2 linked regions of the Caenorhabditis elegans genome follow. The protein of the gene in region 1 interacts with the protein of each later gene in a pairwise test. Each region holds a gene or a part of one and is shown on either strand. Other genes may lie near its edges.

Region 1 (7,810 bases):
CAATATTATGTGTTTCATGCAGTTTTTAATAACATCCTTTCTATTTTCAAAAAATTCCAAAAATTGAACTTTTCCACAATTCCAATGAAAAAATAGTACTGTTTCAAACTTTTGATTTACAACTTCAAGTTGCAATTTTAATAATCGTCAGCTTCTATAAATAAAAAATTGAATCGAGAATTTCTGCATAAACATGTTTTTTACAGTTTTTAATTACCGTATTTCCTGTTTTAATAAAAGACTAATAAAGGAAAAACGGTCTAATTGTAAGTAGAATGAAAAAAGTCACAAGTTTTTCGTTAAATTTAATTTTTGAATATAAATTTTAATTTGATTTCAAAGCTATATTCTAAATGATGTAGAGTAAGAAAAATAAAGTTAAAATCACTGTTTCACAAAATGTTCAAAATAAAAACTTTCAACAAATTTCCATTGGTTGGTTTCTCTTCTTTTACTTTTTAGCATTTTCAAAGTACTTTCAGCGGTTTCAATATATTGTTATAAAATGTGAAATAACGTTATTTTTAATACTAACATATTAAATGTCATAAGTCTAAATGAGTTTGTTAGCTGAAATTTTGATTAAAACTTCAATATAAAAATGTTTCCAGTAGTTTTTAAATATACGTAGGACAAAAAAAAAGAAATTTTTGAAAATAAAGAAAATCTGGCTTCTTTGGTACTTTTCGTCTAAAAAAACTTTCAACACATTTCCATTAGTTGTTTTCTCTTCACTTTCACTTTTTAGCATTTTCAAAGTACCTTCAGCGGTTTCAAAATATTGATATAAAATGTGAAATAAAGCTATTTTTTAATATGGTTTTTTTTTAATAAGTTTTTTTTCATAAGTCTAAATAAGTCTGTTATTTTTGAAAAAAAAGGATAAAAAAGAAACATGGATTTTTGGGTATTTTTCATTTGAAATCAATAATTTAAACTTTATAAAATATTTTGAACAATTAGATCATATGATTAGAAAATTTTAGAAAATCCGAGGATTTATATGCTTAAAATATTAATTTAAATGGCATTTCAAAACTATATTCTAGGAAATTTTAAGTAAGAAAAAATTAAATTAAAATTACCGTTTCACAAAATTTTCTAAACAAAAACTTTCAACACATTTCCATTGGTTGGTTTCTCTTCGCTTTTACTTTTTAGCATTCTCAAAATACCTTCAGCGGTTTTTCAACACACTTTCATTTTTTCGTCAGTATTTTTTATTCTGTAAATTTGACCTCTGGCTGATAACTGATATGTTATTACTTTCCCCTATGACTCACCCAGTGACACATTGTATCATGTGGCAGAATCTCAAATTTCACAACAAAATGATTCAATTCGTTTACAAAAAAAAATCCCAAACACTTTCTCGACCTCTTCCGGATATCAAAATAACAAAAACCTTTTCCTTTCCAACTCCGCCCTTTTTTTGAGAGGGATAATAGGAGTTATGGAGGGCGGAGAGACAAAGAGAAAACCCCGAAAGAAAAGTGTATAAAACGTCTGAGCGACGGCGGCTGGTCGCTCTTAGTTGTCAACAAAACAAATCTTGACAGCCAAGCGAAAATGATGAGGAGTTCGTTTTTTGTTCTTCTTGCTTTGATTGCCCTTTCTCAGGTTAGTCTGTTTCGAGTTCTTTGTAAAAAATAAGTGATTTTTATCCTAAATTGATATCATTTTCATACTTTGTTTTATATTTTTTCGGCTTATTTAGTGAATTTTGATCCAAGTTAGGCCACGGCGCACGCGGTGCGGTTGCGTCGCGGTCGATACGCAATATATCATCAGTATCAGTATAGAGCAGCCCAAACATTTTGAAATTTTTTGGCAAAAATCATGACGCTTCAGGCAACTAATTTTACACTAATTTTTGTTTGACACTGCAAGAATATATCTAAATTTTTTCAAAATAAGAACGTATCGCTATGACACTAAAGTCGCAAAACATCTAAAAATAAATCATGTTGTTGAAACTGCACCTAATGTTTTTTTTGGATTTTTGCGTATGTAAATAGTTTTCGAAGAAACAAAAGTCATCAGATACTGCAAATTAAAAAAAAAGAACTTTAAACAGTCGCCGATTTATTTTCCAAAATTGATTATCGAATTACACAAAAATTAGCGTCTAATCCAATGACACTAAAGTTGCAAAAAATCAAAAAAAAAATCATATAGTTGAAACTGTAATCTGATTTTTTTTGAACCACCAATTGTTTAATTTAGAATTCACAACTTTTTACAAATTCACAAAACTATGCTGTACCTTTTTTGGGATTCTGTTTTTTTAATATTTTACTATTTTTGAACAAGCAAAAGTCATCAGATACTGCAAATTAATAAAAATGAACTTGAAACATTCTTTGATTTTTTTTTCCAAAATTAACTATCGAATTACACAAAAATTGGAAAGTTTCGGCTGTGTTGCCGCTCTCGAAATGCAACTCAATTGCTCCGTATCACTCAAAACTAAACTACCTTTCTCGAACTAAAACGGTCTAATGTAATGACACTAAAGTTGCAAAACATCAAAAAAATAAATCATATAGTTGAAACTGTAACCAAATTTTTTTTGAAACACCAATTGTTATATTTAGAATTCAAAACTTTACACAAATTCCAAAAACTAGGCTTTGCATTTTTTGGGTACCGATTTCGGTTTTTTTCTTGGATTTTGCAAGTTTAAGCGTACGAGCAAAAGTCACCAAACACTGTAAATTAAAAAATGAACTTGAAACCTTCGCTAATTTTTTTTTTCAAAAATTTCTATACAAGCTATCAGCTAGATTATCGAATTGCAAAAAGTTTGAAAGTTGCGGTCAATACGCGATGCGACCGCTCCGCTTCACTCAAAACTAAACTACCTCTAACTTCATTCAATTTCACTCGATTTCTCCAGAATTTTTGGAACAAATTCAAAAATGCTCGAGCTCAAAAAAAACAACAATTTTCCCCCAAACTTTCACGTATCCCCTGGGCCTCCTGGTGCTCATAAATTTCAGCGCGTAGTGTAATCAACAGACAACGACACAAAATCTCATCTTCTTCCCCCTCACCTAGATACTTCTTTTCAGTATATCATTTATCACTCTGTGTTATCAAAAAAAGAAAGAGAGAAAAAAAGAGACAGTTGCTGTTATTTCTTTCATTTTTCCCCGCTCGATTGTCGTCATTTCAATTTGATGTAGTGATCAATACGGAAGGAACACGGGAGTTTGAACAAAAGATTAGAGAAGGGGAAGTGTTGAGCAAAGTTTTAATAGTGTATTTGACTAAAAATGATATTGAAAGCCTCACTTTTTCAAATATTCAGAAAAATGCATAACACGAAACAGATCGAATTTTAAAAAAGTTTGATTTTACAAATTGTGTGCCGCATTTTTCTCAGATATTTTATAAGAGTTAAATTTCTTTTATTATTACTGATTTCTCTGACCTTAGTTTTTTGTTAAATAAAATCAATTTAAATAACATTAACTTAATTTTTCATGAGTTAAACATCACGATTGTCTCCGATTATATTGTAACAACTTATTAGACATTTTGAAACGGGAAAAATTGTGGCACATTGAAAGAAATTTTAGCTTTCTTTTTTTTTTCTAATGTCTCTATATAAAGAAAATTTTGAATAGGTAATTCATTGTGTTTTTCAAACAGTTCCAACTTTTTGAGACGTCTAGTTAGACTGACCGATTAATGCGTTGTCAAATTAATTAATTTTGAAAAAATTAAGAATCACCATCTCAACATAACTCTCAAAACTGTACTACGTAAATGCATTATATGAAAGTGCAAACAATTTTTTCAAAAATTCAAATTAATTTCAGACCAAATCAACTTTTCTCTTATTTTACAAAACCCAACAACTCATTAATATTTCAAGAGACAAAATATTTTAAGGTAACTTTTATGAGTAGAGTGATTTTTTTAAACAAGAAGTAGTATCAGAGACGTCTGCAAATAATTTCTGAACTAAACTTTTAAAATTTCTTTACATTTTTTTATTTCAAATTTTTTACAGTTTCAATTAGTGCATATCATTTGGGTTGCCTTTATTTTTATAATAACTGACGATACGGCAATATCTGGGAAAATTTTTAATGGAACAATTGAAACCTGCACAGCTGTACCGCTTAAATGTAATATATGAAACAGTTCCCGAATTTCAAAAACGGTTTTTTTTGTTGGAAAATGTGTTGACTGTTCCTTTTCTTTGTTAGTAGCAGCTTGAATTTTCAACTTATAATGGTCGTGGATATGTCGGAACAGTTTTCCAATTTTTGAATATTTTATACAGTTTTATTTTCGAACATAAATTTCAATAGTTCCAATTTTCCACAGTTTCTTATTCCTTATTTATATGTCACTCAAATTATTTTCAGCGTTAATCGGAATTAATCGGAAAATTTTGGGGGAAAAAAACCAAAGCACATAAAAAATCAGCTTCCTACTTTATGTTGCAATGTGAAAAGGTTTCAAATTTTTTTACAGTTTCAATAAGTGTATATAATACGAGTATCCCTTATTTTCATAGTAATCTAGACATAGTCTTTTCCAAAAATCCAAATTTTCGTAAGACGAATAATTCGATAACACAGTACGAAAAGTTTTTTTTTTCTAAATCTAAGATTCCTAGTTTTGAACACGGAAATTTTTTTGAAATATCTCTCATTTTTGAAGAAAAAAGTTGTTGTCAAGGCTATATCTGCAAAACTTTTAAATAGAAAATTTAAAAAAAGATACCGTTTCAACAATTCTATATCAATCAACCTGCTTGCTTCTTACTAATTTAATTAGTATTCTTCAAGGCCATAGTTCGTCGTGATGCCTCCGGTCCAACACTTGTGCTCCGTGACAACTGTAAGATCATTCCAGCCGGTGGATGCTCCTGTGACGTCAAGGAGGGAAACGATGAGGTTGTGATCCGTGAATATGACAGTGTTGATCAATGTAAGAAGTCTGTGGAAATGGCCACAGCTGAGAACAAGAAGGATTTGAACGAAGAAATCAAACAAAAATACGGAGATTTCAAGGAAAACTGTTTCCCAAAACCATCGGGTGGATGCAAGTGCAACGTGGATCTTGGACATGGTGAGGAGGTGGCCGAGTACTCCGCAGACGCTGATTGCAAGAAATCCATTGAATCAGTGACAGCTGAGCACAAGAAAGAGCTCAACGAGGAGATTAAGGAGAAATTCGGAGCATTCAAGGAAAACTGCTTCCCAAAGCCTTCCGGTGGATGCAAGTGCAATGAGAAAGACGCCAATGGAAATGAAGTTGTGACTGCCTACAATAACCCAGATCAATGCAAAGTTCGTGGAAAGAGAGATGTCGGAGCAACAGTTCAACGTCAACCAGCCAATATTGCCAGAGCTAATGTGAAAGATGTGAAGCAGGCTCAGCCAAATTATGACGTCAGAGATCCAGTGAGGTTAGTTGTTGCAACTAAAAAGTCAGCAGCATCGATACAAGAAATTACTTAAAACTATTTACAAACTATTGGAAACAGTATTTTTTCTCGAATGCATGTTCAACAAACTCCAGGATTTTGAAAAATTTGAAATAAAAACCCTGTTTCAGATAATTTGTACGAGTTTCTGAACAATTTATTTTTTCGATGCCACAGTCGGTTATTTTATCCAATTTGAAAACTTGAAATTAAGAAAAAATTAATGAGCTCAGAATTAGTTTTTTCTGGATTTTCTTCCAATTTTCAGCTGGCTCTTTTTAGCTAGAAATTGAAGTCAAAATATTGTTTCAGCAAATATTGTCTCGTTAACTTCCGAAAAAATAATGTTTTTTTTTCAATTTTTAAAATTAGAAATCTATATTTATAGATGGTGTTACCAAAAATACATTTTTGTACACAAAGAGCAAAATCATTTGGCCAATTTATATGTGTACACGACACAAATAACCAGAGTTCAAGGTGTGTTGAACCAGTCTAGTCAAATAAAGAATTGGAAAAAAATTAATGGTGTTTTTTTAACGTTTGGAATTTTTTGAATTGAACATGCAGTTATTATCACTAATTAATCTAGAATGAAAATAATTAAAAAAGATTTGAAACAGTAAATTGTTTTTTTTCAACTATTTTAAACGGATGTTCTAGTGCACTGCATTTCATTTCCTCTATGTTTTCAACTTGAATCGAAAATTCCTATAGACATAAATCCAGTTATTTTGAAAATTTGAATATTTTTGAAGCAGTGAAATTCGAGAAAACAATTTTCGCACTAAAATTTTTTCACAGTTTCAAATTTTAAACATTTTATAATCAGTATTTCCTCAATGTTAAGAAACTACAGTCAAAAATTTCCGAAAATTTGAATAAATCCCACAATCTAAACCCAAAAAATGTTTATCGTAAAATTATCACTATTTCACATAAGTTTCTATTCTAAATATTTTTTATAAAATTTTCTAAATCAATATTACACAATGTCAAAAATCTGAATTCAAAACTCGAACTTCGATGCTTAAAAAATACTCACGGTTTCAAATTTTAGTAACAAATTAGCGCTTTTTCTAATTTTTTTAAAAAATTGAATTATCGATGAAAAACTAAGATAATATGTTTTGTACCAAATTATATTTTAAATTAAATGTTCAAAATTGCAGTCACTATTTCTGACTCTTTAACAAAAAATATAAAACAGTGGAAATTTTTTGAAAAAGTAAAAGTTCTGGGTAATGCTTTCAAAAAGTTCGCAAAGCCCGTAAACTTTAAAAAATGGTAAAATTTTTTAAATTTTCTAATTTCTCTCGTGTTCAGTTTCATCTGTCTTAGAAGTTATCAAAATTAATCAAAAACTATTACAGAGAGCGCGCCCAAGCCAACTACGCCGCAGTCGTCGATGAGCTAAAGAACAAGTTCAAGGGGCTTAAGGAAGGATGTTTCCCAAGACCAAAAGGATGTCTCTGTGTTATTGGAAAAACTCCAGAAGGACGTGATATTACTGAGAGAAGAATGAAGGATGTTGACTGCAAGTGCAAGGAAGGAGAACGTGGACCTGAGTGCCCAGCTAACTAATTTTTTTTTTGGAACTTTTCAATTAAAAACAAACATTTAATGTTGATACTCTTGCCCAATATATATACATTCTAAAAACATTTATTTTTTGGGTTTTTTTGTGTAATAATTTGGACCAAATAAATTTTGCACTGAATGAATTAATTGTTCAGCATCAAACCCACTTGCAGTGTCTTTACAGTACCCTACCGTAGTCGATTTGGGAGACACAGATACCTCGAACAGATATTTATTATATAAAAGCTAGGGCTATTTATTTATATAAAAGCTAGGGCGGCGACTGTCGCCTGCTTTTCGCCTCAATCCGCGCCTCATGTAAATTCACGCCAAAATTAAAGTGAGGAGGCAGGTGTCAGGCAGGCGTCAGGCAGGCGTCAGGCCTTGAAACCACGCCTGCCTTCCATAGAAGCCCTATGAAATCCTAGTTTCAGTTCGTGTATTGTATATTATTTGGCCAAAAAAAATTTGCGATTTGATAAGATACAATTTTTGAATAAACTTTTTTCAACAATCATCTGTTTCAGATAGTTTATAAAACTTATAGCAAACAGCATTACTCAATTCTCAGAATTCCAGATGTGTTGAACAATTGTATTTATATTGTGAGTAGTATTTTCAATTTCGAGTCAGCATATAATTTTTATGAAACAGTATTTCTGGTTTTATTACCAGAATGGTTTTGTTGCACACGTTTTTGTATTTTGACAAAAGAACTTGTGTATTTCTATTCCTTTTAATTTTTTTTCTCTAATGAAGGGGTATTGTCTGCGGCCGACA
Region 2 (4,855 bases), on another chromosome or scaffold:
TTGTATTCTCTGCTTTACCAACAAAAACTCACCATTTACATTCTTTTTCAATGCAATTCGAATTTTTCCGCCACTCGTGATCAATCGTAATGGAGCATTGATTTTGGATCGCTGCTCATTTTTCGAAGTTTTCGCTGAGGCTTCAATGCGAAGGAGATGCCAGGAAAGCTGTAAGTTGGAGGTTTTATTTTAAGCCTATTTTAACAATTTGAATATCAGATGTTTTTTTGAAAATTTTAAAAATCCAACTATGTATTTTTCCTGAATATTTTTTTTCTAATCACATTTTTTAAGATTCATCTTTGATGAGATATTTTTAGATTTATAATTATTCAAATTGATTCTAGAAATGTTTCTTTTTAAAAATTCACCTGCTTAAACATCAATGTTCTATTTGTCTCCGAGCACGTAATTCTAGTCTGACGCAAGTCTTTCACTTGAGCCCATCCTGGACTTCTGCTCTCCACTGACAATCGTTGAAGCTGAAAAATTTCATTAATTAAAACATTTTCCGGCTGAGCAAACACAAACCATAAATGAGCCTCCGAATACGTCGGAATCAAAGTTAATTTCTACAGAACTTATATACAAAGACATGTTTTCGATGATTTTGTTCATGAAGCCGTATGAACTGCTGTCACCGAGATTTCTGCAAAAACGTGAAGGGTTTAATTTCGAAAATGGTAGAACTATGCTTACCCAAGTGGATTTGATTTTGCCTGTTTTTTATGCTCATTGGTAAGCTCCACATCCACATTGATTTCATCAATGAACTGAAATTATTTTTACGATTATAAAAGCATGAATTTGAATGAAAAAGGAGTTTATGTGAGACTATGACACTTTTCAAAATATTTATAACTTTTTTTTTACAAAATAGAAAACGTTATCAAAAATGCAACATTTGGCAGATTTAATTTGTCTGATATAATTATTCAAAATACGAGAATAAATTTGTCTACTTCAATTTCTAATTCAAAAAAAAGAAAACAACCTACAATCTGAATTGGGCAAGTTTTCAATTTGGTCCATGGTACATTCACAGCTACACCTGTACAGAATGCTCGTTTGATTTTCAACCACGAAGGAAGCTCCTGAAATTTTGAGTTTATGCAAGGAAAGCATGTACATTTAAAACTCACCAAAATCTCTGTCAAAACATCTTCGTTAATTTCAATAAACTGAAGTTTACTATTTCCTTTTAACACGTCTAAGGATATCTGCTCGGGCTTCAAGTTTTTTGTGAATCTGAAAAAAAGTGAATTTTTTGAGGGTGCAAACTTGATTAAATTCCATAGTAAAACTTTTCAAAAAAAATTTGAAATTTTATACTTATTGTCACAAGTAGCAATTACCAAGATATTTTTGGTTTTTTTAAGCGATTTGGAGCATATTTTGGCAAAATTCCCAGTGGCGTTACAAAAATTTTAACATCCATTTTATCAACTAAACAAGGAGGGTATTATTTGAGAAAAAATATGTTTGACGTTGTCATCGATTTTTAATATTTTTCAATACACTCAAAAATTAACTTACTTGGATAAATGTTTGACTAGCTGGTTTTTGATTATTGACGTCATCTTCGGTGTACAATTCTGCAAAAAAAATCGATTTTCAGGTGCGAACTACAAAAAACTACATAAATACACAGAAAATCATCAATAGAACATATTGAATCAAAAACAATGTGCTCATTATTTATGCGAAAATGCATTAATTGTCCAAATTGCGACTATCGGTTTTTGCCAATGGAGCGCGTTTGGCACACGCGGCGGTGTATGCTTGGGAGGGTGCGTGCGCGCGTCGGCATGCCAATTCTCTCAACGTGTTTGTGCTTGGCTAGCCATTGCTGCTTTTTGATAAGAATAGAAACGCGTTTTGGCGTGAGAAAAAAGACCGGATATAGATTTTGAAGATTAGAATTAGAATTTTTCCCTTTTTTTAAATTGTATTTCAATATAAAAATATAATTTGATTAGAATTTTTTGTTGTTGCTCATTGAACGTTTATATAATAAAAAAGAAAGTAGAAGTAGTCAATCAACAAATTTGTTTATCGTTTGTATTAATCGTTTTCTCTGTCATTATTTCTCTAACTCATCGTGAATTTGATTGTAGATAAGCAGGAGAGCAGTCGCAGAGCACAGGCAAAATGGGGGACGACGGGTTCCTCGATCAATACCCTGCCAACACCGATGCGGGCATTGGCACTGTGCACAGCTGCCGCTACTCAAAACAAAAAAATCCGGTGCAGAACAACGATTTTTTATCGTGCTCCATGTGCATACAGTGAGTTTATTCTACTTTTTTTGTTGCAAAATGAAACATAAACCGATCTTAATTAGGAAAAAAGTCAAATTTTACAGCAATTCAGTGGAAAATAAACTGAACGATTACGTGGGAAAATGCAATTTTTACACTTTCCTTGTCTAGTAACACAATGAACAAAAAATGAAAAGAGAAAGTTTTGGAACGATACATTGAAGGTGTTAAATACAATTTGTTTGCAAGGAAGTAAATGTCACAAGTACATCAATTAAAAAATAAAACTATATTTATCGTAATTTTTTGTTAAAACATGAAAGATCATGTAGACACAGATTAGTAGATTACATTAATAGTAAAAGTTAACAAATTTTCATTTTTCAGCAATGGACCCATCAAACTCTACGGTATTTTTTCCGGATTTAATGGTGGCGATTCAACAGCGAAGTTTGTCATGAACAGATTGGTATATGAGATTTTTGGAGAAAATCCAATTACACCAACACTACTCCCTTATCAAGTGATTTAACAATCAAATTTTCAACTCTACAACTACATTTTCAGGTGGTGGAAGAATTTAAACGGAAATTTGAAAACGTTGCCGAGCGTTATTTGTTGATGAACACCGATGATTTGAACAATCGACTGTTAAAGTTGGAGGAACAGTCGGAAACTGGAAATAATGCAGTATCGGAAATCAATCAAAAAGTTAGACTAAATTTTGAAATTATTATAATCTCCCAAATTTTCAGATTCGCCAAGGTACCACTGCCATAGTAGTCATGATCATTAACCAGGACCTATATGTGCTAAATTGCGGAAACTCTCTGTAAGATTTTTGAAACTGTTTGTTAGGAATTTTTGAAAAAAAAAAACTTTCAGCGCAATTGCTATGAACAGTGAGAACGTAGTGCAGCTCAACTCAAATCTACACAATAATGACAATCCTTTGGAGATTGTACGAATAAAAGGGCTAGGGATTAATCCGGAGGTAATTAATTTTTTTTGTAATAATTTTACAAAATAAGTTTACAGACAGTTCTGAATCCAACTAGAGCGATCGGTGACTTACAACGAACCCACCTGTTTGAAGAGACGGAAGCTTTCAAGAATGCAAAAGGACCACCGGTTATTTCTACTCCAGATGTTCAGTATACAAAGGTTTGCTATGATGAAATGTTGTTCTGGAACATTTTACGAAAAACAAGATAAAAGATCAAATTCAATGAAAATATTAGTCACAACACCTCAGATTTGATTACAAAATGAGAACATGTTTTCTTTTCTTTTTTTAAATGCTTATTTTCCAACCAACAGGTAACTTCTACTTTTAGATCGACCCATCCTGGAGACATTTGGTTCTGATCTCCGACGGTGTAGTTCAGAATCTTAAGGAAGTTGAAGTTGAAAACATCCCAACGTAAGTAGCAAACTTATGGAACTTTTTCGTCAATAACCAAGTCACACGTTTATAAAAATAAAAAATAAAATTTTCATCGATTCCCCAGTTTTCAGAGAAGTATCCGTTCGACTAATTGAAGATCACACAGTTACAAGTACAGCGCAGGCATTGGTAGACTCGTTTGCAAGAAAGCATCGCGATGCTTACACGGTTTGTTGGATTTACCCTTTTTTAGATAAGCAAATTTGAATACAATTTACAAAATTTTACCTATTTCTTCTCAATTCAATTAAATTTGTTCAAACATTGGGCGGATGTATTTTGCTATTCCACATTGCCATATTATTTTTATTTTATTTTCAGATGAGCGACGATAAAAATTTCTGTATCAGTAATCACAGAGAGGAAATGACTGTGATTTATGTGAAGCTCGAGGAAGATTACCAAGCGGCTCTTTACGAACAATTCGATTCAGCGATTTCGACAATGGAATCTACAAATGCAACATTGTATGAGCCCTGCTCGACACCATATGTCGATGCTACCAACTTCAATTCTGGAAAAAATTATGAAAAGATGAAGAAACTACTTCTAACTCGACCTTCAAAATAAATATTGTTGCTAGTAAATATAAATATTTGTTATCATGTATTATGTGTTATTTTTGCGGGGAGTATGATTATGATGCTTTCATTACAAATGTAACGTTATATGTGCCTATGTGGTGCCATGTGCCAGGATGTCCCATCACGGATTGATCTAGAAAAATAGCGGGATTTTTTCGCCCAAAAAAAATGCGACGTCAGCGCGTTCTTAACCATACGAAATCAGTGGAGAACTCTGCGTCCCCTTCTCCCGCATTTTTTGTATTATTGATCTACGTAGATCAAACCAAAATGAGTAACTCTGACACCACTTGTGTGCCCTGTTCGACACCTTACGTGGAAGCTACCAATCTCAACTCTGGGAACAATTTTGAAAAGATCAAGAAACATTTTTCAAGTCGACCGTCAAAATAATTTCTATTGTTGCTACTACATAGATCTAAACTTTTCTTTTCCTATTTCTTTGTTTTATTTTGAAAAAAAAATCTCTGACGAGAGATGCGGGGGAGGAGTTGCTTGAGCTGGTGTGAGATCAAATTTCTTGAATTTCACATCAACGCTTTTGTCCTGATTTTGAGACTAGA

What was found.
Region 2: the proteins of ccg-1 (region 1) and tap-1 interact in a two-hybrid assay, tested with the Caenorhabditis elegans proteins (one large-scale study listed by BioGRID).

Annotation. Positions count from the first base shown.
Region 1 is NC_003282.8:15,269,521-15,277,330, reverse strand, and holds ccg-1 (Conserved Cysteine/Glycine domain protein), read left to right. Parts: upstream 1-1,526; 5' UTR 1,527-1,569; coding exon 1,570-1,620; intron 1,621-1,674; exon of another isoform or gene 1,675-1,695; intron 1,696-1,910; exon of another isoform or gene 1,911-1,934; intron 1,935-2,008; exon of another isoform or gene 2,009-2,029; intron 2,030-2,121; exon of another isoform or gene 2,122-2,142; intron 2,143-2,291; exon of another isoform or gene 2,292-2,312; intron 2,313-2,491; exon of another isoform or gene 2,492-2,512; intron 2,513-2,673; exon of another isoform or gene 2,674-2,694; intron 2,695-3,269; exon of another isoform or gene 3,270-3,290; intron 3,291-3,485; exon of another isoform or gene 3,486-3,506; intron 3,507-3,725; exon of another isoform or gene 3,726-3,746; intron 3,747-4,061; exon of another isoform or gene 4,062-4,085; intron 4,086-4,087; exon of another isoform or gene 4,088-4,109; intron 4,110-4,246; exon of another isoform or gene 4,247-4,267; intron 4,268-4,385; exon of another isoform or gene 4,386-4,406; intron 4,407-4,534; exon of another isoform or gene 4,535-4,555; intron 4,556-4,788; exon of another isoform or gene 4,789-4,808; coding exon 4,809-5,431; intron 5,432-5,438; exon of another isoform or gene 5,439-5,466; intron 5,467-5,618; exon of another isoform or gene 5,619-5,639; and 11 more.
Region 2 is NC_003284.9:14,587,507-14,592,361, forward strand, and holds tap-1 (TGF-beta-activated kinase 1 and MAP3K7-binding protein 1), read left to right. Parts: upstream 1-2,117; 5' UTR 2,118-2,151; coding exon 2,152-2,288; intron 2,289-2,648; coding exon 2,649-2,784; intron 2,785-2,828; coding exon 2,829-2,972; intron 2,973-3,016; coding exon 3,017-3,093; intron 3,094-3,146; coding exon 3,147-3,255; intron 3,256-3,299; coding exon 3,300-3,425; intron 3,426-3,598; coding exon 3,599-3,684; intron 3,685-3,779; coding exon 3,780-3,876; intron 3,877-4,029; coding exon 4,030-4,278; 3' UTR 4,279-4,315; downstream 4,316-4,855. Other genes in the region: bltp-3B (Chorein N-terminal domain-containing protein), read right to left, coding at 33-168, 372-482, 532-649, 700-773, 999-1,094, 1,143-1,248, 1,537-1,580. UniProt on the Caenorhabditis elegans protein: Involved in the Wnt signaling pathway by regulating mom-4 kinase activity.